Notamacropus eugenii: one gene and its partners. The main gene of each other region encodes a partner of the protein of the gene in region 2 in a complex. Links are inferred from orthologs where the notes say so. Each region holds a gene or a part of one and is shown on either strand. Other genes may lie near its edges.

Evidence for each region.
Region 1: SART1 (region 2) and TXNL4A share a complex: the UniProt entries of both Homo sapiens proteins name them as parts of the U4/U6-U5 tri-snRNP complex. The link is inferred for Notamacropus eugenii from reciprocal best matches to the Homo sapiens genes SART1 and TXNL4A.
Region 3: SART1 (region 2) and PRPF4 share a complex: the UniProt entries of both Homo sapiens proteins name them as parts of the U4/U6-U5 tri-snRNP complex. The link is inferred for Notamacropus eugenii from reciprocal best matches to the Homo sapiens genes SART1 and PRPF4.
Region 4: SART1 (region 2) and PPIH share a complex: the UniProt entries of both Homo sapiens proteins name them as parts of the U4/U6-U5 tri-snRNP complex. The link is inferred for Notamacropus eugenii from reciprocal best matches to the Homo sapiens genes SART1 and PPIH.

The regions. Positions count from the first base shown.
Region 1 is NC_092875.1:200,531,216-200,538,492, reverse strand, and holds the start of TXNL4A (thioredoxin-like protein 4A), read right to left. Parts: upstream 3,004-7,277; 5' UTR 2,766-3,003; intron 2,621-2,765; exon of another isoform or gene 2,145-2,620; intron 1,592-2,144; 5' UTR 1,571-1,591; coding exon 1,418-1,570; intron 1,317-1,417; exon of another isoform or gene 1,276-1,316; coding exon of another isoform or gene 1,252-1,275; intron 1-1,251. UniProt on the Homo sapiens protein: Plays a role in pre-mRNA splicing as component of the U5 snRNP and U4/U6-U5 tri-snRNP complexes that are involved in spliceosome assembly, and as component of the precatalytic spliceosome (spliceosome B complex).
Region 2 is NC_092873.1:18,651,233-18,659,215, reverse strand, and holds the start of SART1 (U4/U6.U5 tri-snRNP-associated protein 1), read right to left. Parts: upstream 3,018-7,983; 5' UTR 2,376-3,017; coding exon 2,033-2,375; intron 327-2,032; coding exon 269-326; intron 57-268; coding exon 1-56. UniProt on the Homo sapiens protein: Plays a role in mRNA splicing as a component of the U4/U6-U5 tri-snRNP, one of the building blocks of the spliceosome. May also bind to DNA.
Region 3 is NC_092872.1:478,475,131-478,483,002, reverse strand, and holds the start of PRPF4 (U4/U6 small nuclear ribonucleoprotein Prp4), read left to right. Parts: upstream 1-4,857; 5' UTR 4,858-4,956; coding exon 4,957-4,983; intron 4,984-6,364; coding exon 6,365-6,548; intron 6,549-7,872. Other genes in the region: anaphase-promoting complex subunit CDC26, read right to left, coding at 3,008-3,088. UniProt on the Homo sapiens protein: Plays a role in pre-mRNA splicing as component of the U4/U6-U5 tri-snRNP complex that is involved in spliceosome assembly, and as component of the precatalytic spliceosome (spliceosome B complex).
Region 4 is NC_092876.1:74,540,770-74,548,536, forward strand, and holds the start of PPIH (peptidyl-prolyl cis-trans isomerase H), read right to left. Parts: upstream 3,015-7,767; 5' UTR 2,887-3,014; coding exon 2,821-2,886; intron 2,368-2,820; coding exon 2,303-2,367; intron 585-2,302; coding exon 561-584; intron 268-560; coding exon 223-267; intron 137-222; coding exon 94-136; intron 1-93. UniProt on the Homo sapiens protein: PPIase that catalyzes the cis-trans isomerization of proline imidic peptide bonds in oligopeptides and may therefore assist protein folding. Participates in pre-mRNA splicing.

The DNA of each region.
Region 1 (7,277 bases), on a different chromosome or scaffold from region 2:
GCAGCAGCCACCCTGCATATATATATATACATATATACACAAACAAATACACACATATATATGCATGCATGTATGTATGGAGATATATATACGTATATATATCTACATCTATTTACAGTTATATATATTTGTGTTAGTGTTTCTTATTAACACTATGGAAGACTTGAAAGAAAAACCATGTTTACAAAAGTGAGATATGACATTAGTCAATTTCATCTCAATAATTTATCATCATCATTATAACAACATCTGCAAACACAACTTCTTGACACTAAATGATTATTCCTACCACAGCCTCCAGAAATCTGTGCCAAAAGTTTACCACCCAACAACACAGTGATATCCCAGATTAATATTATTGCTGTCGGCAAAACAGAACACTGAGAAACAGTACTCTGGTTTAGACAACACAAGTCTAAGGTTTTATTTTCAAATGGAGGAAAATATCAATTCAGAGGAAAATATCAATTAGCTCATACATGAATACCAAAGAGCACAAAACAATATTAAAGACACTAATTTCAAGATTATAGCATGCTCTATGTAGGTGCATTTAACACATGTCTCAGAAAATTTAAAATATAGGTACTAAAAACCAAATTTAAGCATATATAGAGTAGAGCTTCTAGGATACTGAAGGAGAATTTCGCCTCTAAAAATAAGGCATAACACTCCTGGAATATCCACTGAAAATTTAGACTGGCTATTTTAGGCTAATGTTTTCTTCTAAGTCAAATTAACTAATTTTCACAACTGTAGCTGTTAACAGTCACAAAAATAGGCTAATGCTGAAAGTAGCAAAAAGCAGAAGGCAGTAAGACCCTTAAATCAAGAAAGCATGAATCAAAAACACTCACTGATTATTCTCTGTGCAGGAAGCCTGTGCTACAGATGCTTTTTTATTTACCATTTATTATCATTCTGATTCATTTCAATCTTGAATGATGGGGTAAGTAAATCTTGAAAAATCTTGAAAAATACCTTAAGTATCTAACCTTATGTATTGGTATACTAAGAAGCAAATCAATTCAAAATTTTGGATGAAAATATGAAATGTGGCTTTTAATCCTAAATCATATACATAATTCATTTCCTCAGTTCAAGGCAAAAAAGAGTATAACCTAATTAATGATTTCAATTACAAGTCATAGCAGTGTGCAAGAATGGAAAGAGAACAGAGAATTAGGAGTTCTAGGTTCAAGTCCTGCCTCCATCCCCATATAGCCATATGACCCTTTATAGTCACTTTACCTCTCTGGGTCTCCATTTTTTCATCTGTAATATGAAGATAATACTTGTTCTGCCTATTTCATGGGCTGTTAGGAGGATCAAAGGAGAAAAAGGACATCAAAGGGCTTTGTAAACAAACAAACATGAGGGATCATGGCATTAAAAGTACTACTCAAATAAGGTTTACCTTTTCTGCAATACTATATAAAACTTCATCCATTTTCATACAAGTAGGGTCCCAATCATGTCCAAACCTAATAACAACAACTCGGTCCTCTTCTGAAAGAATCGCTTGATCCACCTGCCAACCATTGTGCAAATGTGGAAGCATGTACGACATCCTGAACAGTCAGTCTGAGTCCTGTGGAGGAGAATTCACTTATCAGAAAGCATGCTTTCTTATCGTGCATCCCATTGCTTCTAACATTAAGAAATAATCCTGGCAACGGCAGACGATTAACACTTCAACACAGACTAGGGAGAATCGAAACACTCCCCAAGGCCCCTCACCGTCCCAACCGCGCCTACAACTCTACCGCTACAAGCTATACTCCTCCACACGCCAAGGAAGACCCTCCTCCTCCTCCTTCCACTCGAGGCCCACAGTCTAAGAAGCCCCTACAGAAGACTAAAAGGCAAACCAACTCAACATTTTGGGTCTTCATGGAAGACGCTGGCTTTTAATACCAGGTCATCCACTTTCCTCATTTCCTTAATTCAAGGGAAAACATAAACGTTTAAGAATCGAATTAAGGAGCTCAATGATGGGTGGCAGCAGCGTACAGTAACGGGGAAAGCAAGGGAAAACGAGGGGCTGCGAGTCCCACTCTGGCCCGCGCCCCTCCGTGTCCGCGGGGTCCTGCACAAGTCGTTTTACTTCTCTGCACTCAAGGCCTTGGCAGCCTCGGACTGACCTCCGGGGGGTCGCTAATTCATTCACACCACGGGGGAGGTCGCTCCCACTGCAGCTTTTCTGAGTCTGCCCTGCTGTCTAAGGGGGGCCGCGGCCGTGCACCCCGGCGCTAAGGACAAGGGCTGCGGCGGCATCCGTCACCGACCTCGGCCACGCGAGACCTCAGGGGCCGGCGGCGGACAACACGCTCCCGTCCGGGCCGCCAAACCGAGGCCGCGCGTGCCCAGAGGGCTACACCGGAGCCGAGCCTCGGAGAGCGAGGCGAAGCGAGAGAAGAAAAGGGCTCACAGCCGCAGCGGGGCCGGGTCCTGACGAAAGGAGGTGACGCACAAACCTGCCGGCAAAGAGAGAAGATCCAGCTCCGGGAACCGCCGGTGGAACCGCTGGCCCGACGTCTTCTCCGCCCCTAACGCGTCACACGTATGTGCGTAAGAGCGCAGAGCGTGCGCGCCCCCGGCCCAGTTGGGGGAACGCGCTCCCTGTAGGGCGCGCGCGCGCGTGCTTAGACCCGGGCGGATCGCTCTGCAGCTCCATCTCCAGCCTTATCTGAGCTAGCGTGGTTGCGCCGGTTCCTATCTATCCAAAGGGACAGAATGATGGATCAAATCCTCTAGGAGCTTACCTTTCATTAACGCTGTAAGGTTTGCAGAGCACTTCCCCCCCATATCAATCACGTCCCCCGCTGAATGAACAAGCGCCTACTTTGTGACCCTGCGCCAAGGACTGGGACGGTAGATCAGCAGTCCTTCAGGAGCTCCATTTCTACAGGGCAAGTCAGCGGTCAGATGCCTCTACACACGCCTTAGGTGCAGTGTAAAAGGAAGCAACCTCAGGGGGAAGGCCCTGCCAGCCGGAAAGAGAGAGGTGACCTCTGAGAATCCGAGGGGGCGCAAGCGAGGAGCGAGACCCCGGATCGATCAGAGCGCTACCTCCAGCGTCTTAGTGATCTTCTCAGCAACCGTGGTCCAACAGTGAGGCCCATAATGAAAGTATCACCCTCATTTTACAGAGGAGAACGTTTGGGGGTAGGTCAGCGGAGCAAGACGCGAATGACTGTCACTGACATGTAGAAAGAAGAGCTGGGTGAGGAGTGTGGGAAACAAATCAGGAGACTGGCGTAGGGAAGGGATGAGGACCGCGACAGGGGACTTCACTTATCCAGACATCCAGTTAATCAATAACCATTTACTAAGTGCCTACTGTGTGCCCAGCACTGTGCTAGGTGCAAAGGATAAAGCAAAAAGCAAAAGACAGTCCCTACCCTCAAAGAGCTCGAAGTCTGATGGGGAAGACAACATGCAAATACATACAAGCTATATACAGAATGAATAGGAGGTAATTATAGGAAAGGCTTCCTGTGAAAGGTGTGGTTTTGGTTGTAACTGGAAGGAAGCCGGGAAGCCAAAAGATAGAGAGAAGAGGAGGTAGAGCATTCCAGCGCACAGAGACAGCCAGAGAAAATGCCCAGCTGAAAAACTGAGCATCTTCTTTGTAGGAGAGCAAAAAGATCGGTGTCGTTGGGTCAAAGTGATGTGGGAGTCGGAGGGTGTTAAGTGTAAGAACTAAGTAAGAAGACTGGAAGGTAGATGGGGAGGTCTGTGTTTTGAACAGCTTTGAATGCCAAACCAAGGATTTTATATTTCATGAGGGAAGTGGGATGAGACACTGTTGTTCATTGAGTGCATGGGTGACATGGTTGGACAGTTCCACTGGTTAGAACTTTCTCTCTCTCTCTCCCTCCCTCCTTCCTTCCCTCCCTCCCTCCCTCCCTCTCTTTCTCTCTCTGTCTGTCTCTCTCTGTCTTTCTCTGTCTCTCTGTCTCTCGATGACAAAAGCAGAGCAGCTAAAGATCGCTTGTTTTTGCTTAGTGGTAATTTCTTCCTTCTAAAGGTAAAGAAACCAACGGGGAGAAATTCTATTTTGAATTTGATTCTCACTAACCACAAGGAATTGTTTGCTAGAGTAAAAATAATGAGATCCCTGGGGGAAAGTTACCACTTTTTCCTACAGTTTGTGATAGAGGAGAGGAAATACATCAATCTGACTTGCACTTTAGGTGTTTGAGAAATCAGGTTCAAAGGATTCACAAGAAAGATAGATAGAATCCCATGGACTAAAATGCTATAGAAATAGTCAGCCCGGGGGAATGGGAGTTACTCAAAAACAAAGAGAAACTCCTCATAAAAAGGAAAAAGATATGTAGAGAAAGAAAACCGAAACAGGACAGGTAATGGAGGATGAATATAAAGCAATGTGGTCCTAAAAATAATACGGAGTATCCCAAAAGACAATGCAGTTTTGAGCTTGAATTTAATTTAATAATAATAAATTTTAATTTAATTTAATAATTTAGTGGTTCAATTATTAAACCACTAATTATAAAATAATAATTAAAGGTTTAATTTTAATTTAATATTTAAACTTAAAACTACACTAAGACTTTTTGGGATATCCTATATGGTTAGGAATGCAAAAACTCAGAAAGAGCTGAGGCTAAAAAGCTAAGGACAAAGAAAAGGTTTGGGTTTTTGTTTTGTTTTGAATTAGTATTCATACTATATTGGGAGAAGACTAACTATATTTCCCTCCATCCTATCCTGCCCCCCATTTATTCTAGTCTCTCTTTTGACCTTGTCCCTCCCCAAGAGTGTTGACTTCTAATTGATCCCTCCTCCCATTGCCCTCCTTTCCATTATCTCCCCTGCTGTGCTTATCCCCTTCTCCCCCACTTTCCTGTGTTGTAAGATAGGTTTTCATACCAAAATGAGTGTGCATTTTATTCCTTCCTTAGTCAAATGTGATGAGAGTAAACTTCATGTTTTCCCTCTCACCTCCCCCCTTTTTCCCTCCATTGAAAAGTTTTTCTCTTGCCTCTTCTATGAGAAATAATTTGCCCCATTCCATTTCTCCCTTTCTCCTCCCATTATATTCCTCTCTCACCCCTTAATTTTATTTTTTTAGATTTGATCCCTTCCTATTCAACTCACCCTGTGCTTTCTGTCTCTCTCTCTCTCTCTCTCTCTCTCTCTCTCTCTCTCTGTGCGTTTGTGTGTGTGTGTGTGTGTGTGTGTGTCTAATCCCACCAACTACCCAGATACTGAAAAAAATTTCAAGAGTTACAAATATTGTCTTTCCGTGTAGGAAAGTAAACAATTCAACTTTAGTAAGTCCCTTATGATTTCTCCTTCCTATTTACCTTTTCATGCTTCTCTTGATTCTTGTGTCTGAAAGTCAGATTTTCTTTTTAGCTCTGATCTTTTCATCAAGAATGCCTGAAAGTCCTCTATTTCATTGAAAGACCAATTTTTCCCCTGAAGTATTATACTCAGTTTTGCTGAGTAGGTGATTCTTGGTTTTGGTCCTCGTTCCTTTGACTTCTGGAATATCCTGTGCCATGCCCTTTGATCTCTTAATGTAGAAGCTGCTAGATCTTGTGTTATCCTGATTGTATTTCCACAATATTTGAATTATTTCTTTCTAGCTGCTTGCAATATTTTCTCCTTGACCAGGAAACTCTGGAATTTGGCTACAATGTTCCTAGGAGTTTCTCTTTTTGGATCTCTTTCAGGAGGTGATTGGTGGATTCTTTCAATATTTATTTTGTCCTCTGGTTCTAGAATATCAGAGCAGTTTTCCTTGATAATTTCATGAGAGATGATGTCTAGGCTCTTTTTTGATCAAGGCTTTCAGGTAGTCCCATAATTTTTAAATTGTCTCTTCTGGATCTATTTTCCAGGTCAGTTGTTTTTCCAATGAGATATTTCACATTATCTTCCATTTTCTCTTTCTTTTGGTTTTGTTTTGTGATTTCTTGGTTTCTCATAAAGTCATTAGCCTCCATCTGTTCCATTCTAATTTTGAAAGAACTATTTTCTTCAGTGAGCTTTTGAACCTCCTTTTCCATTTGGCTAATTCTGCTTTTTAAAGCATTCTTCTCCTCATTGACTTGTTGAACCTCTTTTGCCAATTGAGTTAGCCTATTTTTAAAGGTGCTATTTTCTTCAGCATTTTTTTGGGTTTCCTTTCACAAGTTGTTGACTTGCTTTTCATGCTTTTCTTGCATCTCTCTCAATTCTCTTCCCAATTTTTCCTCTACCTCTCTTACTTGATTTTCAAAATCCTTTTTGAGCTCTTCCATGGCCTGAGCCCATTGCATATTTATTTTGGATGTTTGGGATGCAGAAGCCTTGACTTTTATTTCTTTCCCTGATGGTAAGCATTGTTCTTCCTCATCTGAAAAGATAGGAGAAGATATCTGTTCAGCAAGAAAGTAACCTTCTATAGTCTTATTTTTTTCCCCTTTTTTGGGCATTTTCCCAACCAGTTACTTGACTTTTGGGTCCTTTGTCAAGATAGGCTATACTCTGGAGATCTGTAAGATCTCAGTTCCTCCAAGGTGGCACAATCAAGTGTGTGCACTGGTCTGGGAGCAACAAGAGACTTTTTTGCCCAGAATCTGTGAGTAGTTCAGTTTTCTCTCCACAACCACCTGGCCTCCAGTTCTACCAAGCCAGCACTGGGGGCTAAGATTCAGATAAGCTGCTCAATTCCCCTGGGGCTTTAGGTGGGGGCAGGGCTGCCATACAGGGCTGAGGTACGGATCAACTTTTCAGTTCCCCCAGGGGCTTTACAATTCAACAATGGATGCAGGTTGCTGTGGAAGCTGGTGCCACTGATGTGGCCTCTGCCGCTGACACCTGAGGCCAGAGCTATGGGAAGACCCTGCTCCCTTCTCAGCCAGCTGAAAAAACCCTCTCACTGACCTTTGTTGCCTGTGGGTTGAGGGATCTACAAACTGCCACTACTGCCACTGGGGATTCTGCCCCTGAGGCCTGCTTGGGTCTTCCTCCCATCACGCAGCCAAGGCTAAGCTGGGCTCCACTCCGTATTTAGTGCGACAGACCTTTCCTGTTGGCCTTTCACGTCACCCTGGGCTGGAAATTTCCTCCCCTCTGTTGTTCTGTGGCTTCTCCTGCTCTAGAATTTGTTGAGAGTCTTTCTTTACAGATATTTTATGGGCTGTGGGGGAAGAGATAGTGTATGTGCACCTTTCTACTCTGCCATCTTGGCTCTGCCCCCCCCAATTTCCAGATTAAAGGTGAATCCTGAAGTGCTCCCAGAGAGAGAAAAACTG
Region 2 (7,983 bases):
CTTTCTTGACAGCACTGATCTCCAAAGGTTTGAGGCCCAACTTGGCTCGGAGTTTACTGAGAACAAAAGAGATAGCTACGGTTATGAGGCTCTCAGGAAACATGGGGCAACTAAATTCTGGATGGACTAAAGAGAAGGAACTGGGGAGAGATGCTACTCAGCACTCATTTGGAAGGATCGGTAACAAGGCCTCCTTAGGTCCATTAGCAGAACACTATGCTGGAAGAGGTCAGAGGGCATTGGGGAACTAAGCCTTCCCATCACTCACTTGGTCTCCTCAATGCTGAGAGATGAGGCATCTCCAGAGCTGGCCTTGGAGCCAGTGGCTAGAACGAGAAAGACAAGGGTCAGGCTCCCTCTGTGCTGCTTTGAGGGCATCCTGACCACAGTTCAAAGAATTAACATCTGGAAGCCCAGAACTCAGGAGTTCTAAGCCCCAGACAACACCTGGTGTAGACAAGAAGACTGTGTTTACTTCCCTGGCCAACCCTTGCTGGGAAAAACTTCTTTAGCTCCACAAGCCAGCTTTTCCTCTGCAGGAATTATCATACCTTCCCTGAAGTCCTGGGAAGGCACTTCCTTGTATTGGTTGGGAGAGGACAAGTTAAGAGTCAGGGGCTACAAATGTTTCATTATCCCTCCAAATCTGCCAATCTCAAGCCCTGCTTGAGAAGCATAAAACAGATTTCTGTTTTATAGATAGAGAGTTTGGCAGACCACTTAGAATCAAAGTATCTCACATCTGGAAGGGACCTCCAGTCCAGTCTATAACTAAGCAGGAAGCCCACTGCAGTAGCCCATTTCACTTTCAGCTCTCCCAGCCCTAACCCCACTCTGGCCTCTGGCAAACCACTCTAATCTTCCTGAGCTCTGACTTCTTCACATGTAAAATGGTGCTAATTCTCTCTACCTGAGTTGTGGAGGAAAACATTTTGTAAATCTAAGGTAAGTAAGAGCAAGGTATTACTGCTTGAGTCTAAACCCTCCAATAGCTCCTGGTAGAACATGGAGTCAAGGGTGAAGTTATTTCCTTGGTATATGAGGCCCTCATCCAGCTGGGAATGGTCCACTTTTGCATCTTGTCTTACCCACACCCTGTTCTCCAGCTGAAGTGAACTACTCATCATCCCTGTACATTTCCAGGCTCCCCACCTTCAGGCCTTGGTGATTCCCAATACTTTCCCTTCCTGAATTCCTGCTCCTCCTTTAAAATCAGACTTGAACGTCTTATTTCTCTAAGAACACTCTCCTGGTTGTTGATAACCTTTCCCCTCTGACCTTCATGCTTGCTGCATTCACAGGATCATCAAAGTTTTGGGTTTCATCCCCTAATGAACTTGAGCTCTATGAGGGCAGGAGCCGTGTCTCAGCCAGGGCCCAGGACAAACATTGACGGTACAGAGTCAGCAGAAACACACCCAGATTTGGCGTCACATGACGCGGCTCCCCAGACTCAGAGCTGGAAGGGATCTTTAACATCATCTAATGCAATTCCCTTCTTTGGGCAACTCACACCCACGACCCACGGCCTGGGCCGCAGCTCCCTTCCCCTCCAGGTCCAGGGGCTCCCCCCGGGCTCTGGACATTCTCTCTGGCTGTCCCCAGCCCGACTTCCCCCGGAAGCCTCCCCTAGTCAGTGATGTCGTCGCCCCTGCCAGACTGTAAGCTCCTCCAGCGCGGGGCCCGCCTTGGTTGCAGTCTCCGCACCCAGGAGGCACCTTACCGACGGAGCCCCCCCCCCCATTAGCGCAGGTCAGTGGTAGTTACGCTCCCTCGGCCCCAGGATCCGCGACCTCGAACCACAGCTGTGCCTCAGTTTCCCCACCTGTCTGCGCGGGTCCCTGCAGATCCTAGACTTAATGGGAGTGGGGAAAGATCCGGCCCAGGGCTTACACTCCCGACCCTGCCCCTCAAGCTCCACCCCCACCTCGGCTGCGCTCCCTTACTGGCCCACTCAGGAGGGAAGGCCCCGCCCCCGGCTGTTCATTGGCCCCGCCTCCCTCAAGCCCCGCCCCTCGGGCCTCGCGCTCACCAGCTTCGTAGCCGTCATCGCGCTTCTCTCGCTTCACTCTCCGCTCCGCAGGCTCTGCCTGGCTGCGCTCGCGCCCGTGCGCGCTCCCGTTACGGGCCTCGGTCTCGCCCCCGCGGCGGCTGCTCCCCCTCTCGGCCCCGCGCTCCCGGCTGCGCTTGCGCCGCTCGCTGGCTCCGCCCCCGCCGCTCCCGCTGCCGCCGCCCCCGCTGCGATGTTTGTGCTTCTTATGCTCGCGATGCCGGGGCGCCTGCTCGGCTGTGCCCGGGCCCGAGCTCCCTGCTGCCCCCGCTCCGGCCCCCGCCGCCGCCTCCTTCTCCCCGCGGTGCTTCTTCGAGGAGCCCATGGCGGCTCCGCTCCCACCGAACCCCGGCCGCCGTCACCGCCGGCCCTGACGCGGAATGCGAGCTCTTCCGGGTTACGGGCCGCCCCTCGGCGGCTGTTGCCGGAAACCAGTAGGCGCCGTTTCCGTTGTGCTCTGGTCCTCTGGCCCAACGCCCGACGGGAAATCAGGCCCGAGGCTTCCGGCGCCCGCTCGTCACTGCGCTTTCGCCGTGGCGCCTCTCTTCTTTCCCCCTCCCAACGCATCCGGGCCGAGAGGCGCATGCGCCAGGCTGGGCCTGCGGCTGCGCCAAATCTCAGGCTGCCTGAGCAAGGACCCTTTGTGTGGCTGAAGCATGGCGCCTGGAAGGGGGATGGGCACGCATGCGCAGCTCGGGATAGGTTGGGCGCGTGCGAGGTTCTCCTTACCCCCTTGGCTCCTGCTTCTGCACCCTGGCAGCCCCCATCCCCTCTCCTTCTCCTGTGGGCTTGCCCTGCGGATCCAACGGGTTCAGTTACATCTCTGTGAATCCTCCCTGTCTCAGCTACTGGGTAGTGGCCAGTGTGAGAACGCCCCTGCCCGCTCTGCTGCCCAGCACGTGGAGCCCGGAATACAGCCTGGGCACAGAGAGGCGGGCTGGCAGCGGGGAGCATGGAGGGAAGCGTGGCGCCTGGACCCGGCAGCCATCCCGGTGCCACACTTGATCCGTTACCCTTAACCTCGCCTCCTCCATCCTTGATTACTTGCCACCCACGTGCCTCCAGCTGGTGCCACCCTTGACTACTTCCCTAGTTACCCCAGTCTCATCAAGATCCTCCTCAGATCTTGCCCATGGTCTTTCTGTACATAAGTTCCATCTCGCCTCCATGAAGGCGCTCAGATTCAATCCGGCTCCAGCTTTGTAGCTCAGATTCTCTCTGGCCCACTTGTCAATACTGATGTCACCCATACGGTGAACCTTTAATAAACTTTGTTTTACTTTGGCTAGAAGAAGTCTTGCGTTAAATTCATTCGATGGGACCTGGCGTATTGGTATTTTGGGGTCCCCAGCACCCCAAACCTCATGGTTCCCAGACCTCAACAAGACCACTCATCCAGTCTCTCTGTACCCTGCAGTGCCAGCCCCCCACCTGCTGGCTCAGCTCGATCTCCACAGGGGAGAATAGAGATGAAAAAATACTTAAGATTTAACCCTCGAGTGGTTGAAAAGTCTGAATTATTTAAAACCCTGAGTTTGTGAAAAATCAAAAAATGAAACATGAATGTCCTACAGGGTCTATTGACTTCAAGTCAGAAGTTAAACCAATGTAAATTAATTGCTAGAAACAAGGAGACCGAGGGAGCCAAGAAACATCTTAGAAAACACTGGACTTATTTGCCAAACAAATACCTTGGGAAGGCAATACATGTCTAGAATATAAACTCGTTTGTAAAATCTTACAGAGGATGATGGTGAATGAGCAGAATTGTCTCATGAAGCAGACAGAGATAGCAGTGGAGGGTAAAACCAGTCTAAAGAAAGCTTGGCAAGATTTCCAACTGAGCAAAGTCATACTGAGGGAATTAAAAAATGAAAGTGGAAAGAAGACCACAGAGAGAGGGAAAAGAGAAAAGATTTGCAAAAATGAATAAAACATTCTTTTCTTATATATAGACACACATATGTATAGAGAGAGAAAGGAGAGCTGCTGTGGAGGCAATACAGTGGTAAGGGATTATAAACTTCCCTTGTGTTCATTGATTTAAAAAAAGCATTCCACTAGAATTCCACTGGAGTAAAAGCTTCCTGGACCCCCCTACCTCCCCTACAGGCTACTGTTTAACTAGGTGTATCCTATCTCTACATTAAGCTCATTCAAGATTCTAAGATGCATCAACAGAAATAACCCTATTCAGTGGCTCTCTGGTCAGAAACACCCAGTGTGGCATAAAATAGGCAGATGTGTTCTTGCCTCAAATATTTGCCTTCCTGATGTTGATCCACAAAGAGTCCTTTGGAATGGTGAGGTCCTTTTGACATTCCTGTTTGAGAGTGACATGTTGATTGCATCGAACCAAAGACTTTGCAGAATCTCCTGGAAGAGATCTTTTAACTATCTAGAAGAATTTGATCTGTTCGCTCATCCAGGAAAGATCAAGTAGGCGAAGACAGGGTATTGCTCAGATTTTGACATACATCTGGATTGGCAATCTACAGGGCTTGACCAACAGGATGTATTTCTGAGATAAACAATAAATGCACCATGAGCTAGATCCAGATTTGAAAAGAAAAAGGAAAATTAGATTGCTTTTGGGAAATTGCAAGGTTCTTTTACCAACTGATTGGTTCCCATAATAGCAAAGGGTCAGTCTTTTTAACATTGGACCAATGCTGCTGTATCACAACAAGACCTGAAAGCCCATTGTCTTTGAAGAACTAAACATTAGTATCACATCAGGGGCACCAGAAGAGCACATGGTAGGCACAAGCAGGCAGGTGACATCTAACCAACAAGGGATCCCAAGTAACAGTGGTAAAGGACATCAAAGAATTACATGACAGATGACAGGTATATGAGGGATACCTTCCACTGGATGGAAGGTTTTCATTTTTTTCCACCCACTTAATAGTACTGTACTTCTTCCAGTTACATGTAAAGAAAGTTTTCAACATTCAATCTTAGAAGAATTCGAGTTCTTTTTCTCCCTCCCACTCTTTCCCCCTCCACAAGACTGCATGCAATCTGATATAGGTCATGCATGTACAATCATATTAAACATATTTCCACATTGGTCATGTTGTGAAAAAGGAATCAGAACAAAAGAGAAAAAACCACAAAAAAGAGAGAAAATCCTATATTTTGATATGCATTCAGATGCCATAGTTCTTTCTCTGGATGTGAATAATAACATTTTCCATCATGAGTCTTTTGGAGTTCTCTTAGATTCATCGCATTGCTGAGAAAAAATAAGCCTATTAAAGTTGGTCATCGCACAGCGTTGCTGTGACAGTGTACAAGGTTCCAGTTCTTTTCACTTCATATAGCATCAGTTTATCTAACTCCGAGTTTTTCTGAAATCTGCCGAACAATAGTATTCCTTTACATTCACATACCACAACTTGTTCAGCCATTTCCCAGTAGATGGGCATCCATTTCCAGTTCTTTGCCACCACAAAAAGAGCTGTTATATTTTTGTACATGTGGGTCCTTTTCCCTTTTTAATGATCTCTTTGGGATATATTGCTGGATCAGAGGGTATGCACATTTTTTTTAGTCCTTTGGGCATAGTTCCGAATGGCTCTCCAGAATGGTTAGATCGGTTCACAGCTCCATCAACAATGCATTAGTGTTCCAATTTTCTCCAGCATTTATTATGTTTTCCTTTTTCATCATATTAGCCAATCTGATAGTTGTGAGGTGTTATCTCAGTTGTTTTAATTTGCATTTCTCTAATCAATAGTGGTTTAGAACATTTTCTTCATCTGAAAACTATTTGTGCAAATCCTTTGACCATTTGTCAATTGGGGAATGATTTGTATTCTTATAAATTTGACTCAGTTATCTACATATTTTAGAAATGAGATCTTAACAGAGACACTGGCTATAAAAATCATTTCCCAGCTTTCTGTTTCACTTCTAATCTTGGTTGTATTGATTTTGTGCAAAACCTTTTTAATTTAATGTAATCAAAATTATCCATTTTGTATTTCATAATGTTCTCCTATCTCATTTGGTCATAAATTCTTCCCTTCTCCATAAATCTGAAAGGTAAACTATTCTTTACTCTAGTAATTTGCTTGTGATGTCACCCTTTCTATCTAAATCATGTATTGATTTTGACCTTTTCTTGGTATACAGTGTAAGATCTTGGTTTTATGCCTAGTTTCTCTGTACTATTTTCCAGTTTTCCCAGCAGTTTTTTGTCAAATAATGAATTCTTATCCCAGAAGCTGAAGTCTTTGGGTTTAACAAACAGTAGATTACTAGTCATTCACTACTGTGCCTTGTGCACCTAACCTATTCCAACTGATCCACCACTGTTTCTTAGCCAGTACCAAGTAGTTTGAATGATTGCTGCTTTATAATACAGTTTTAGATCTGGTATGGCTAGGCCACTGGAAGGTTTTTTACTGTGCTGGATGGACCCCTTGTGGTGAACTTTTGGGAGGATCTGGACAAAATGTGTTGCCTGGGATGGACAGGCTACCTTCTGTATTGTTGAAGAGAATACCCAGATCAATGAACATTTAAACATTCCCAGCATGAACTTAATAACCATTGCTTTATTTTTTACATAAACCCTCTTAAGAGCTTCCTCTGAGGGTTGGTAGAAATTATGACTGCATGTTAGGTATTTCTTGTGTTGGCCAGTGCTGGAAGATTTGTTCTTCTGGTACCCAAGAAAGGAAATTCATGGTCCTATGGCCAAATTGGCCCAAGATCCCACCTCTACTCAGAACCTTCTGGGACTGCTCCTTTCACCAACGATGAAGTCTGACACTTCCCAGCTTGGCAGAATTGGCCAGTGGATGTACTGATGAGAGCTAAGCACTACTTAGAACCAGCTTCATGAAGTCTGCCCTTAGTGCAGGGAGGGTTAGAGACATCCTACCATCTGGAATCTTGTTTCAATCATTTTTTGTTAATGAAATTCTGTGGTAACTTACTGATGGGCTCCCTGCAAGTGCTGTGGGAATGCTAAATTCAGAGCCAGATGACAAAATCTCAGTGCCCTATCATAATTGCAGCTTAGCCAACTTTACCCCCTGCCCAGATTTAGGCATTGGAGGAAGAGGTTAGTGAAGGTCAATACTGCCAACCATCAGTAGCATAATTAATACGTTATGAGTAGGACATGTGGACATATGTTTTGTGTGACGTATAAATACTTCTCAATGGGTGAGAGAAGAGAATTTAGAAATAAAAATAAATGAAAAATACATTGTGAACATAGCTTGCGTTTGGAACCCTAAGACCCAGATTGTGTGGTTGGTGACAATCTGTGTCATAGGCTCAGAAATTTATAGCAGGAAGGAACTCCATCCAGTCTAACCCCATGATGTTACAGATGAGGAAACTGAGACCCAAAAAAGTTAAGTGACTTGACTGAGATCACAGAGCTCACAAAGTGGAGCTTTTTTTGAGGCCTAAAGGGTTCTGAGCATCGATATTACCGTATTTCTTGCTGGGGCCTTTGGACAAGTCACTTGACTTCTCTGGGCCGCTGTTTCCTCCTTAGAAAAAGAATAAGTTTAGTCTACATGGTCCTACTGGGTCTGCAAGATCTCATCTCTACACCCTCCTTATTGTCTGTATGTTCCTGTGCTGACCACCAGCCCAGCCTACTTCTTTGCCTGATGAAGGGTCAAGGAGAACTCTGACCTTTTAAGGCCAAGTCAGATGGCCTCCCTCAAGAAGCCGTCCTTGATCCTGCTGGCTGGTCAAGGACCTTCACTTCAGATCATAGGCTTTGAGCTCAAAGGGGACCACAGAGGACTTCAAGTCTAACTGATATAAGAAATCTGGGGTGATTTACCCAAACTCATAGAGCTACTGTCTGAAGTGAGATCTGAACCCAGGTCTTCCTGACTGCTATTTTCATACACCCATAATGCCAACCATGTTCTGGGATCCATTAGGTGTGTGGTTCC
Region 3 (7,872 bases), on a different chromosome or scaffold from region 2:
CAAGCCATCTGAGGGAGAGGGGGGAGAAAATAAGAAAACTTATGGAAGTGATTGTTGAAAATTTAAAACAAATAAATAAATTTGGAGGGAAAAAAATGAACTAAGGGTATACTTCAAAGGATTTGAGAATATGAGAATCCTAAACCATAAATCTATTTTTCTGCATTATGCCACTTTGGGAAAGACCTTTTAATAAAAAAAAATGAATACGAAATATGTATATAGAAAAAGAAAAAAAGAAAATTGCTAAATGAAATCACATGAGTCTTTCTGGGTAGTATTCCTCTATCACCACCATCCCTCCACATACCTTCTCAAATTGAACTTTTGCTGTACAAACACCTAAGTTAATGACTAAAGTCTATCTATGGATACCAGTTCAGCCCTAGGGAATAGTCATCCAAAAAGCCTGATGTGTTCTTAATCTGGAAATGTGGCAGTGCACCAACTTGACTTCAGTATCAAACCTTATGTTCTAAGCTAGCTGAATTTTCTTGTAATGTCTACCTGTCTTGCTGGCTGGGCCAAATCTGTGTGTTAACTCTATTAGTGGCACTAGTGCCTTAACGTTGGTGTTTGGCAAAGCCGAAGTTCATTATGCTGGCTAAGATTCATTACCATCAAAGCTTCCAACTGCCCCGAGGCTTATCCTCAGAAAAGAACTTGGAGGCTGAGTAGAGATGGGTTGGGGGGAGGGTTGGACTCCACAAGTAATTTCATTAGTATACAAAGCTCCCAATGAGGAAACCAAAAGAGGGTAGAGAGGTTCAGAATCTTGGCTCCTAGGTTCTGAGAAACCTGGCTTCCTGGTCTGTTCAGGCACCAGAAAAGTCTGTTTTTGAAGAAAAGTCTTCAAAAGCTCTGTTCTTTCTGGCCCCAAATCCATCATTCTCCTCCACAAAGTGCGTTTGGACTCACGATTCCTACAAGTCCAGAAGCTTTCCTCTGCCCTCTGCCCAAAGTTTGTGAGCCACTCCTGGTTCTTCAATCTGATGCTTGTGGCTCTCCTGTGAACTCCCAAACTGTAGTCTCTGGTCCACCTAAGTTCTCTGGCTTTCCTCAGGACCCATGGAGTCTGCAACCTTTCTTTATACCCAATACGCACAGTCAGCAACAGGTAGATCAGGTGCATCCCCAGTAGGGCTCATAATGAAAGCCCTTAATGTAACTGAGGTATCAAGGATGATGACACATCATAGGCCCAGGTTACACTCCTTGTGCATTTTTTTAAAAGTTAAAAAATTATGATGTTGAAAGCAAGCTATAGTTTTTAGGAGGAAATGAAAGCCAGTTCATAAAACATTTTAATAATAGCTATAATTAATATAACTTAATATAAATAAATATAATTTTAATAATAGATGTTCAAACTTTTTTGTTGCTCAGTCTTGTTTAGTTTTGTTGTCATTTTCAGTTGTGTCCAACTCTTCATGACCCATTTAGGGTTTTGGTTTTTTTTTAAAGAGCTTAATAGATGTTTATTGACTTGATAACTACTAGAAGACTCAGAAATATACTTTCTTTCATGTAGTACAGCACTCACATAACAATGTACATCAAAGGTTAACCAGTGGCAATGATATTGAGCACAGCTGAAAGGAACTTGGTTCAAATGCAAATTAGATCATCAAGGGCAAAGTTCAAATACTCTCAAATGTAATCCAAACTGAACCTATGTATAAATCAGGCAGGCTTTACTGATTTGAAATAAATCAAGGTCTTTATCTGACCAGAATCCCCAGCCTTTTAAAATCCAAGACCTACAATTTTTCAGCTCCAGAGGGGGCTGCCTGTTTAAAAAATAAACAAATATATTTTTATTTTTTATTATTATTTTATTTGTTTTCAGTGTTCTACAATCACTTCCAATGTATCTTAGATTTTTTCCCCTCCCTCCTCCCTTACCCTCTACCACCCCTCTCCCTCCCTGAGATGGCATACAGTTTTATATAGGTTCTACACATACATTCCTATTAAATACATTTTCACCTTACTCATGTTGCATAGAAGAATTAAAATGAATGGGAGGAATCATAAAACAAACCAAAACGTAATACAAAAGAAAATGATCTGCTACATTCTGCAATCGAATTCCATAGTTCTTTCTCTGGATGTGGAAGGCATTTTGCCTTAAGAGACCACTGGGAATTTTTTAAATCCTTGCATTGCAATGAAGTACTAAGTCTACCAGAAAAAATCCTCATAGACTGTGGTTGTTGCTGTGTACAGAGTTCTCCTGGTTCTGCTCCTTTCACTCAGCATCAGATCATATAAGTCTTTCCAGGCCTCTCTGAAGTCTTCCTGTTCATCATTTCTTATAGCGCAATAGTATTCCATTACATTCATATGCCACAATTTATTCAGCCATTCCCCAATTGACGGGCCTCCCCTTGATTTCCAGTTTTTGGCCACCACAAAGAGGGCTGCTATAAATATTTTTGTACATGTGGGACCCTTTCCCATTTTTATGATCTCTTGGGGATACTGGAGTGGTTTGCATTTTCCTTCTCCAGCTCATTTTACAGATGAAGAAACTGAGTAAAAGGGTTAAATAACTTGCCCAGAGTCAAGCGAGTATCTGAGGCTGCATTTGCACTCAAGTCTTTCTGATTCCAAGCCCTGCCCTCTATTCCCTGCAATATCTAGCAGCCCATTTAACTTTTAAAATACATTTTTAAAAAACCCATTCATATTCACTATCATATGCAAGATGAAGTGGTTAAAAGTTCACAATGTATGGCTTGCCTTGCTTGCTCCCTAATATAAAAAGACTGAGTTTAATTGAAATTTAAACATGCATAGTTCCATATGAAAATGCTTATTTTGATATGAAGTGACCTTCAAATCAAGGTTCTTCTAAGTAATGATGTGTACACATCTACACTAAAAACTCAATCTTCAACGTTCCTCTCCCAAATGAAATAGGTTTCTAGACAGAATACTTTAGACTAAGATAACACATCCTAAAATACCCACTCCATAAAATAACAGACGTGACCACACTCACCTCCAGATCCTTCCGGATACTCTCGAATTCCTCAATGTCATCTAGCTTCAACTCCAGGCGAGTGGGTTTTCGTCGGAGCATCCTGGTAACAGTTCAACACGTCCAAGCCAAATCCACCAAACTGTCAAAATTTAGGGAGAAGGAAGAGGCTCTACAAGAAGCATACTCTGGTGGGGATGGATTTTCTGCAAGCAAACAACGATACCCTAAACGTACACACAACCTCCTGAGCTGTCAGGAAGCCTCAATGACTCTGATTTCACAGCCATTCAAAAATAGCTGCCTGTGAAACACATAGAAACCAAAAGATGTACAATCCACTTTAATCCAGTAGTACTTCAGCCACATTCAGAGAAATGTACAAGTTTATACAGACAGTTAAAAATAACTTTCCTTAATTCAAAATGAATTACCATTTACAAAATGGATAGTGACAATCACTTTAATACCCTTTGCCTGGGTTTTTAGGGATTTGTGACCACTGGCAAAAGTCAAGTTAAGATTTCATTTTCAAATGAATCACACAGTGGTTGACTTCCTAATTCTAAGGAAAAGTCTCTTTGATTCATAACTATATAATGACTTGATGCAAACTTTTTCAAGGAACAAAAAACAGAAATAAACAATTGCGCAGATTTATGCTAAAATGTTTACAGAGGATTACGCTTTGTAACCATTAAAATGATTACAGAGGAAATCAATAATGCTAGGGTCATTTTTTTTAGCACCATTTAATGATCTGAATTTTAATAAACCTTTTTTTTTTTGGCTTTTCATAGACTTAAAAAGTTTTACTGGTGTTTTTCATGTTGTTATTTCTGAATATCCTTTTCCCCTCCCCTGTAACAGATTCCTATTTAGCAGTGTTAACCTCCCCAACTATTAGCATTGATTTAACATCCCTCTCTTCGGTAATGAAGAACAATGGACCGGAGTCCCTCAATGAGTATGCATGCCAGCATATGCTTTCCCACCGTATTTTAGGATTCTGGGCATACCCACCACACTCTCCAGACCCACTTCAATCCTGGAACCAAGATGAACGGCAGGGGATCTGAGATGGACGGAGCACTAGGTTCAGCGCATCAACCGAATATAAATACAGTAGGCAATTTCTGAGTGGTTCTTATTCCCCATCATCTATATCTAGGTATTTCCCCTACCTCCTTAACGTGGGGTGGGGAAGGGGAGGGGATGGAGGATGCCACCCTGCCTTGAACCTGGTCTACTCCGTGGCCCTTAGTTTCGCCATCTGTAAAACGAGAGTTGACCCATTTCCCCTCTAAGGTCAGTGGAATCAGACTGTGAAGGGAGAGGGAGGTTGTGGTTGAGGCTGGAGCCGTCGTTTCCATGACTACAGAGAGGCAGGCCAGCGGACCGAGCAGCAGGGAAGCCGAAGCCTGCCCGCCGGCGGCCAGCTCCTTCCTCCCGGCTCACGTCCCCTTCCCTTTCCGCCCGCCTCGCCCCAGGAACTAGGTCCTCAGCTCGAAGCAGCCCTCATGGCCCAACACCCACCTCCCCCCAGCGCGGCGCGGCTCAGCTCAGCTTGGTTTAGCCCAGTCCCGGGGCGAAACCGACTTCTCGGACCCCTACCGCCTCCAGCCTGTTCCACTCCGCCTTTCCAGCCACCTACCAATCTTCTGTAGGCTTGACCGCAAGGACTGCATCTCCCGACATGCCGCGTGGCCCCTTCCTTATCCGTCGCTGCTGACTACCTCTCCCAGAGTGCTCCGCGCTTCATTCCCTCAGGTTGCAACAGAAGCCCCTAGACGAAGACTACAATCCCCGGCCTGCTCCGCGCCTCCCCGGGCTTCCGGACTCCGTTTAGTTCCGGTTATGTTCTATTTCCGACACGTTTCGAAATTTCCGGTCCCCTGAGCGTGGAGTGAGTCCTCCGGCGGTGGGGGTCAGCGGCCGTGGTGGTCTGCGATTGAAATTCTTACCACAACATGGCTTCTTCTCGAGCTTCGGCTACGGTGCGGCTCTGGCCTTGGTGTTTAGGGATCCTTGGGAGTTCTCCCCACGTGTAGGGGAGCCGGAATTGGCTTCTGCCCTTCCACTGAACCCGCGCTCAGGGAGATGATGGGTGGGTTGGTGCAGAGGCAGGGGGATGGACTCGCCGAGTTCCTGACTCCTGACTCTGCCGCCCCTCCGAAGGGAACTGGCCTCCCCTCCCACCCCGACGGAACTGGGGCCACAGCTGGGGTTTGAAGTCAACGCGGCGGCGGGGGGGGGGGGGGGGGGGGGGAGGGGGGGAGTTGGAGTTCTAAAAGAGACAGTGTGGTAATAAAAAGTTGCCCTGGACTCAAGGTGGGAGATCGGACTTCCCAGCTCTACACGAATTTGGTTAAGCCTGTTAATTCCTGGCCCCAGTTTCCTTCTGTAAAGAGAGAAATCTAGATGAGATGCTAACTTAGACTTTTTCAGCATCGTGTTCTGTCATTGGGTTTTAGTCCTAGCTTTGTCCAGATCCCAGACAGATCGCTGAACCCTAGTTTGTCATCTCCAAAAGGAGAGTTACAAGGAAGCAGTTGTTAGTTCAGGATTGGGGAGGGACTTAACAAAGTTGTGGAAAAGGCTTCTGTGACAGATGGTGACTTCACCTTCACTTGGAAGTGTTTGAGCACAATTTGAATGACTGCTGGTCAGGGATGTTACAGAGGAGATTTCCTGTATCTGCAAAAGGGATGGACTAGATGATGTAGACTCTAAAACTCCAAAATTGTATTTAAAAAGGTGATAATCCCTGATCTTTTCCCTTCGTAGGATTTTTGGGAAGATGAAATAAGATTATGCATGTATAAATGCATTGAAATCTAGAAAGTTCTATAGAGATTGTAGTGTACTTCAGAGTTGAAAAAACATAGACCCCAATTTAGAATTTTCTTTGGTTTAACCAGAGGTAAATTTTCTCATTATGTTTCCCTTTAAATTCACTGCTTAAATTTATTTCAGGTCCTTTATTATCTAAATGACTCTAAAAGGACATTGAATGGATAGCAAGCTCAGTATGCTATTGATAACGTAAATGAACACTCATTTCTCCAAGATAGATTGCACCTGTCCCCAGAGGTCTTACATCTTAATAAGCAGTATCAAAGTAACCTATTGATTGGGAAATCACTCAGAAAAAGATGGAGTTCATTAGTTTCATCCCACACGTTTCTTGTCCCGAACATGCTCTCATGTGAGGGATGCACTAAAACAATTACTACCTTATCTGAGTGGGGAAAGTTCCAACTGGTGCTGTGCTTATTTCTGCAGATCCAGGAATAGCATTTGGTTTCAGAATTAACACTTCAGGCAGTTCCGAAGGTTGCTCCAACTCTAGGTTAACTCTACTTTTTGATTTTATAGGCAACCAAAACCCCCAGTAGGACTCCTGAAGACACTGCCTCCCCTGTGGTGAAGAAGCCTCATATCTATTATGGCAGTTTGGAAGAGAAGGAGAAGGAACGTATTGCAAGAGGGGAGTCAGGGATGTTGGGGAAAGAAGGAATTAAAGCTGGAATTGAGGCTGGAAATATTAATATAACTTCTGGTAAGACTAGTTTTGGACTAATCTTTTGTGTTGCCTGTTCTGCCTGGTCTTAAGTACGGGTTTTCTAGGTTTGAATATTTTCTCCTTTTACTTTGGGCCTTGATTAAAATAAGTTTTGCATTATCAACTATAGTCTCTCCTTGAACTTCTCTTTATGGAAGCGTGATTTATAAATGGTATCTCTGAGACTAAGTTTTACTTTGCCTGCCTCATATCCATGGGCCTTTACATTCTTGGGGATTAATAGTCTAATTTGTATTACATTAGTCTGTCATATGGTTGTAAATTCTACTAGATTTTAAATTCCTTGAAGGTACTAAACCAATCCTTACAATGTGTCAGGTACTGTGCCACACACTAAACATGTGAGTGCAAAGAATGTAGCATTCCCTACAGTTAGGCAACAAATACAAGCCTTAATGGCTGTATGTTTGTATATATACACATATACGTATACATGTATTTATATATTTCATAAATTTAAAGTGAATAAATACAAATATATACAAAGAAGTTAAAAACAAACTTGCTGAACAGATTGTTTTGGCCTTGTATTTACCATAGTGCCTAATGTAGTATGCACTTAAAAGTAGTCATTCTTCTCATCTTGTGTCTTCTCAGACACCTTTTTCTTCCCCACATCTTTTTGGTAGGACTGTTCCTATGAATTATGAGTATTTGTACTAGAAAGTCACTCAGAGTAAGTTCATAGAATCATATTCTGCTTCTTCAAAGAACAAGTTTAACATGGTCCTGATATTACTGTTTTGAGCCATTGTGGTCATGTTTATTTCTTTTGCTTTTTTTCTTTTCCAAAGTTTTTATTTGATCGTTTCCCTATACTACATCTGAACAGCTAAGCCACTGCAGCTTAGCCAAGACTCCCTAGTATTGATTCTAGTTTTAAAAACAGTTTTTTTTTAACCTGATCCTGTCTGTAAACTTGTTTTTTGCTTTTTTAAAAGTTAAAACTTTTAAAATGCACTAAGAGTTTTGGGACAATCCTTTATTTTGTTGTTCAGTCATTTCAGTTGTATCTGAGTCTTCATGACCCCATTTGGGGTTTTTTTGGGCAAAGACACTTCCTTCCCCAACTCATTTTACAATTCAGGTAACTGAGACAAACAGGGTTAAGTGACTTGCCCAAGGTCACACAGCTAATAAGTATCTGGGGCTGGGTTTGAACTCAGGTCTTCCTGACTCTAGGCCCAGCATCTATCTGCTTAGCCACCTAGCTGCCCCAGTCTGTGTCTAGATCACTGTAGTTTGTTGTAGTTGATTTCTGTTGTATATTTCATTTTGTGTATTTAAAAACCTTCTGATA
Region 4 (7,767 bases), on a different chromosome or scaffold from region 2:
CAACCTCTTCTCTAGTAAATCAGATAGTGAATCAGAGGGGGTAAAGCAAAACTCTGGCAAAGCTGGAACAAGACAAACTTACACAGTACCTACATTTACAAAGTCTCCTCCTTGGATCATGAAATCTTTTATAACCCTAAAAACAGGACAGACAAAGATATCAGAAAGGAGAAAGTGACTCATGACACACAGGAAGGTGTCCCTGGAAGCCCCAAACCTTACCTGTGAAAAGTGCTTCCCTTGTATCCGATAGGGACTCCATCTTTCCTACAACCAAGGAGAAAGATGAGAAATGGAGGGACCACAGGCAATCCCAGGCCCCTCTGTAAAGCACCCCTGAGGTGGAGAAAGACCCCTCCCCAAATTGCCTCTGGAGAAGTAGGAAGATAGGGTGATTGACTAAAAGAGAAGAGTGACAGAGAAGAAGTGCGCCTGCATCCCTGATCCCAGCAGCTTCCCTAGGCCTTGATGGAAGCTTCCCAAGGGTACTGACTCCAGCTTTGGGCAGGTGGCTCCCACCCAAGCCATGCCTAAGGGAAATAAGCAATTTCTAGACTAACCTGAATTCTCCTGTGCAGAACTGCCTGAAAGAAAGAAAAATATTATCTGCCAAACCATACATACTGAGAAATGATAGAAAAGAGAAACCTTGACCTAGGGGTTGGGTAAGGGAGATACCCCAGCCATCTGTAAACAGAGGTTCCCACATGCTCATACACATACAGGGAAGTGTGTGTGCGTCTGTGTGTGTGTGCACGCGCGCACGTACAACCTGACACTGTTTACAGGCCACCATATACACAGAGATGACAGAAACAAAATAATCACAAACATTAGAGACAGGTACACAACAATAGGGATTCTGCTCTTCCCTCCCTACCCCCAGATACTGGGAACAGTAAGACAGGCAGACAAGCAGACAGATGATCTCCCCCACCTCAAGAACAAAACAAAACAAAAAACACCACCTTCGAGGAAAATGGAAAGAAGTAGGAGTGAAGGGTGTTTGGTATAAAGTGGTCTCAAGTTATGTTACACAAAGCAGTGTAACCATCAAAACTACGTGGTGCTAAAAAATATAAAAAATTAGAATGATGAATAATCTTAGCTAGCAAAACCTAGAATCAGATCAGCACAGCATCCAATGTTTGACAAGCCCAAGGTACACAAATTACTGGACTCTTTATTTGATAGGAAACACTGAGAAAACAGGATAGCAGTCTGGTAGGAAAGATCATTGGTTCTCAAGTCAGAAGACCTGTGTTCAAATTCTGTCTCAGACACTTATTACCAAAGGCACAAAACCTCCGTGGAGATAAGGCACATCTGCAAAATGAGGGGGTGGGAACATATGGTCCCAGAAGTTTCTTTCAAGTCAAAAACATGATTCTAAAAAACAATCTAAATATAAAATGTTGCCCCAAAAAAGAAATTAGAGGGCCATGGAAGGTCATCTTCCACAATGTGGATTAAAGAATCAATCTTTAATCAACCAGCTGCAATAAAACAAGACATACAATTTCAACTATAAAATTAAAAATATAAAACTATATATATTTTATTTTTATTTTATATAAGACAAATATAAAATTATATTAAAATACTATATTTTTTTATATTTATATAAAATAAAACATACAATTTCAACTATAAAACAAAAATAATGCAACTAGAAAAAAAGGAAAAGATATGAATGAGAAAAATATTTTCATTAAACCTATCTTATGAGAATCTAACATCCAAAATCTATAGAGAATTACTGCAAACCTCCTAATATTAAGTCATCAAGACTCTGGAATCATAATCTTAAGGGAAATCTCTAAGATTATGAAGTCACATACCTATGACTCCAAGAGACTTGCGATCATGGGATAAAAATAAGTAGATGGAAAGATAGCACTGATTAAATGCTTACTATGTGCCAGTTTTCAAAGATATATGTCATCAACACATCATCTGAAAAACTGCCCCAAATTACTAAGGATCAAAAGAATGCAGAGGAAGACAAAAGAGAGACGGATAACAATGGGCAAATATGGAAAAATATAAGGATGGAATAAAACCGTGAGTTGACCCAACTTATTTGGAATTATGCAAGAAAGGCTGTTACCCTTTGACCCAGAAACCCCACTACTGGGCTTATGCTCTAAAGTAGGATACGGGCAAAACAAATCAGACTGTAGGGAAGAAAGATGCTACAGACGGACGGACGGACGCTGGCACAGACACGTGGGCTAAGTCTCCTTCCCTCCCCCACCTCCCCACGCCCTCGGGGACGGGGGTGGGGGGGCAATTCCCGGACCTGAAATTCTCCGCGGTCTTGGGCACGATGTCCGCAAAGAGTTCAATCTTCATTCGGCCAACTTCCTGCAGGGCGGGGCAGTGCCAGGGCGTGTCGGTGACGTCATCTCATCATGTCCCTCCCGTTATTCCCCGTCCCATGGTCCCCCCACCTCCATATTTGGTTCTGCCAATGCATTCTGCCCAGGCTCCAGGGTCTAGGTCCCGGTCAGTCTGACCCATCCTGGATTCTGACCCTTCTCTTTGTTCCTTGTCCCGCTCGCTACCCCCCATTTCCGAGCCGTTTGGTCCCGCCCGCTCTCCCCCCATCCTAGAGTCTTTTGGTCCAGCCCATGGTCCCGCCCATTCCCCCCCATCTTCCGGACACATGGATCCCGCCCACTTTTCAGACTTCACCCCCTTCGCCATGTGGTTCGCGGGGTTCCACTGCTCCCCCCGTGCTCCCGGAGCAGCGGGCAGCAGTCGCCTTCAGCCCTTTCCCCAGTCATCCTGCACTGCCTGGATCCATGCCCGTCCCACCTGGCCACCGATGCTAACGTCGAAGAAGACGATGGGGTTGACGGGGCTTGAATTTGCCACGGCCATGATCCTGACACGGAAGCGGAAGCCGGCCGGCGGGGCTCCCGAGGTCGCTGAGTCGGTCCGGCAGCGGCGCAGACGTGCTGGAGCCTGAACGCCGGGCTCCGCCCCCTAGGCCGAGGTCGGGCTGGGCCTGGCGTCTGCGGGAAGGGGCGGAGCTACGGAGGCCCGGTGGGCCAGTGGCCACGGGGACCCAGGAGCTAGGACAGCCAAACGCTGTACACGTGTCTCCCATTTCCTTTGTGATGGTCCGAACCGCTACTGCCATCTTGGTTTTTTCCTCCGTCCCACCCTCACACATATGCTTTCTCAAACCTTAAAATAAACTCATAAAACATTTATTACCAGACCACTGTGTGCAGTGCACACGACCACCCCTTAAAATGAAGCCCCTGGCATGTGCCTGCGGCTGTGGGCGGCGGCACTGGAGGTTTGCCGGCGTCTCCTGTTTGGAGGCCATTGAAATAACAACAGAGATGCTGAGTTTGGTTGTGTATCACGTGGGTAGGTGCATTAGAGGGGCCTGGAGCCACAGTTCTTACCAGGATCCGGGGACCCTGTGTACAAGAGGCTTACAACCCCCGTTTTGCTCTCATATGATCTCTTGGTAACCTCATTTCACATTTCAGTTATGTATGCAGATGATCCACAGTTCTATACTGAAGAAGCATGCTATGTATCTTAAGATCTATCACATATATTGACGGGGGATGTCTCAATGTATAGATAAGGAGAGACAGGACCATGGATAGCTCTGGGATCTTGCATATATGCCTCTTCAAGAGAGACCATTCCTTTCTCTTAGAGGAGAGCAAGAGAAGGGGCCAGGAAGTTGGCTGCATTGTTCTTCCCTGAGACAGAGGCAATTAATAAATGCATATTGACTGACTGAGAGATACTGCAATAGAATTTATCTATATGTCCCACTAAATATTATTGGTCTGGAGCCCTATTTTTTAGGCTCCAAAGTATGAGACAGCGAAAGTTAAGTTTTCACAATAAGTTATTGTTAATTGATGAAGTCATTGAGAATAAGTTAGATAATAAGAAGGCCAGCGGACTGCAGGTGGACTCAGCCAATGAAAAGACCAACAGTGGCCTTCAGAAAATTACAAAGTTTTTGACAATGGAACCAAATCTACAGCTAGCTGGAACTAACCAAGAAAAATCACCTAGAGTTACCTGGAGAAGCCTTTTCTTCAATGTACTTGCTTAATGAACTTCATGCATATAAGCAGACACACCCCACATAAAATTATCCCTCCAATTTCTGATCATGGGTCCTATAGAGCATGTTTGGGAGGGGAGGTCATACTAAGGGAGGTTACACAATGGGCATGTAGAGAAGATGGTGACCTAATGGAGGACTGACCAATCCATCTCCTGGTGGGAGGATCTGTCTTGAACTAAAATTGTATAGCTCATCTCCCTTCTGTATTCAGCATTCTCTCTTCCTGAAAAGAGGGAGGGGGCCTGCTTTGGCCAGAATGATCAATTCCTCTGAACTCTGCTGCAATAAATTTTACTTGATATCTTATTAGTGTCAAGAGTGTCTCTAACAAAAACTACTGAAGTGCTAGCTTTCCTGGTGTTTCCCCTGTAAAAGAGGAAAGGCACCCCAGGCGCAAACCTCTTGACTTGATTCCTTCCCACCAAATGCTAGAGCTACATGAAAGACTATCGCAAATAGCAAATAATGAGTAAACCTACTGATCCAAGCAAATAGGAAATGGAAATTGCATATATTACACAGATTAGAATATTCCAGAAAAGGCACAAGAGTAAATGACCTCTTTGGATGAGATGATATCTTAGTTTCATCAAGTGAGAGGCTCTGATCTCACTCCACAGGAAATGCCCTGAAGTCTGTAAAGATACAATTTGGAAATCAGGGACATGTTGAAAAGTCAGCTTCTCCTACATCTTTGCTGCTTCCAACATCTTTTTTCTTTTTCCTGTCTGATATTGGTCTCAAAGAGTGTTTGGAACCCCACTTGTTTTCCCTAAAAGGATGAAGACTGTTACTCCTCTCCAAAACTGTCAAAACAAATCTGCCCCTCAAAAAAATCATGGGGGATTGCATTAGCATTCCCTCTACCAGTCCAGAATCACATTCTACAGGAAGCATGTAACAAAAAGGTGCTCTTTTCTAACACAGCTTGATTGGAATTTGAGTTACGTATGATAATCAATTCTAGTCTCTCTCTCTTTCTCTCTTTCCCTGGTCTCCTTGTCATATTCCTCTTCTTTTGCCAAACCACAGCCCTGGATTACTTCCACTTTCTGCCTCCTCTGCTCTTGGTCACCAGGAAGCCAAAACTGTGCTTTCTGGGTATGTTACCAATTTAGATTATCCAATCTAAACTAGGTCCTCATTTCAGCAAGGCGGTCCTCATCCTTTCTGAGTTAAGGACCTTGCCTCTACTAAGAATAAGGAGGTGATTTGATATGAGAGCCCTCTTCTCATATTCTCTTCATCTTAAAACACTATGATACCGTTTTCCATCCTTTCTTGTATCCCCCCATAACTCTGACAAAGAAATGGTCCTTCTTGCCAAGGTCAATCATTTTTGTGTACGGTCAGTTCTGTTGCAACCTTTGTTTTGAAAATTCAAATTTGTTAAAATATAATTGATATATTAGGGAAAAATTTGAGCTTTCAATTTTACTTATATGCAATTTTATCCATGAGAAACAGAATGCAGAAAACTATACCACTTCACAATAATACACAAACAAAAACCTTTCTGATGCTCACTTCCTCTAGCAAACCAGGTCTTTTTCAAGGCAAAGTGTCGTATTTATTGTACGCTTTTGGTGCAGTAGGGACTGATCTAAACTCTATCCCTACTCCCCTCCATCTTCTGCTGACCCCTCATATCTGAAATTTCATCCTTTCAAGCCATTCTCTTGGGCCATAGCCATTGACTTTGCCAGCCTGTGTCCAGTGGGAACCAAGGTGCAGACTGAACAGCAGCCCAAGGTCACACACACTATTTATCATAGTATTTGTGTTTCTTAATTATTTTTAAATATATCAAACTTTTCTATTTTTATAAATGTTTTTATGTCACTGATAAAGTTTTTGAGTGTTTTATTTCTAATCTCAGTTCCCCCATAAGTCTTGTGGGTTTTGTTGCATGACTTTGCATATTATGGTGATTTTTAAAAAATGCATGTGTCACATTATAGCAGAACTGGATGTATATTTGACCCCATTTTCTCCAGCATATTGTATCTCCTCTCTTTCTGTAACCTTCCATTTCTCAGTATTTACCTGTTTCTTTCCCTACTGTTTTCAAAAACTCCCAAGGATCCTCTACCTATAAAAACTTTCCTTAGACCCTATCTCTCCTCCCTTTCTAAGCCAAACTCCTTGAAAAACTTGTCTTATACTTGATTCTTCTGCCTCAAGTTTCTCCCCACTCCTATCCATCTTCCATTCAGCCACCAAAGTGATTTTCCTAAAGCTCAGGTCCCACTCCCTACTTAATAAACTCCAGTGATTCCTTATTACCTCCAAGATCAAATACAAAATTCTCTGTTTATTATTCAAAGCTTGTTATATGTGCCTTCTCCTACCTTTCCAGTCTTCTTACACCTTACTCCCCACTACATATTCTTCAGTCTAGTGACACTGGGCTCCTTGCTATTGTATGAACAAGTTACTCCATCTCTCAGCTCTGGATGTCTTCTCTGGCTATCCCCTCATGCCTGGCATCCATCTCTCTGCCTACAGGTTTCCCTAGCTTCAAATCTCAGCTAAAATATTTTTTTCAAATGCAGTGCTTCTTAAACTGTGGGTCATGACCCCATATGGGGTTGTGAAAAACTTGGCAGCAGTAAAAGGTTTCTAAATGCACAATGACCAAAAATTAATTCAAAATCAAACTCGTAATGAATTAGAGGTGTTTCTGGGAGTGCTTGCCCATATTGCATCCAACCTTGTTTCCGAACACAAAGCATGCGCACTTTGTACTGTGCATGCCCTCCAACTATGCAATGCCAACACACCCTGCTGCCAAAACTGAAAAGGGGTCACAAGTAGAAAAAGTTTAAGAAGCCCTGTTCTAGAGGAAGTGTTTTCCTGCCCCTCTTAATTCTAGCCTTCTCTCTGTTAACTATTTCCTAGTTATCCTGTATATAGTTTGGTGGTACATAATTTTTTTTTTCTCTCCCCTATTAGATTTTGAGCTCCTGAGGGCAGAGACTGACGTTTGCCTTTCAATATATTCCCAGGGCTTAGCTCAGTGACTGGCAAAAAGTAAACACAAGAAATCCTTGTTTGACTTTTTTCTCCTCAGTGCTTTACACACTGCTTCTGACTTCATCACTCAATTGAAAATACTCTTTACAAAGTATGACCTCTTAATTGCCAAATCTAATAGCCTTCTCTTGGTCCTTATCCTCCTTTACCAAAGCTGCTACATGGCACAGTAGATAGAGTGCTGCACCTGGAGTCATGAAGATTTGTTCATTGATTGATTGATTGGCTAGAGTTCAAATCTAGCCTCAGACACTTAGTAGCAAGTCATTTAAACCTCAGTCCACTTCCCCCCGTCTGTAAAATGGGGATAATTATAGCACCTACTTCAAGGGTTGTTGTTTGAGAGGATCAAATGAAATAACATATTTGCACATATTGTCTACAAAATGGCTCTGCAAACCTTAAATGCTATGTAAAGGCTAGCTATTGTTATTAGTGTCACTGTCTCAAATTTCTCACTGATTCAGTCCTTAAGCACACATCTGACCATGTGACTCTCTTAATCAGCTCCAGTGGTTTGATATTTCCTCTAGGATCAAATATAAACTGTTTAGTTTTTAAAACCCTGCACAATCAGGCTTCAACCAACATATATTTTCAGCATCATTGCCCCTTACTTT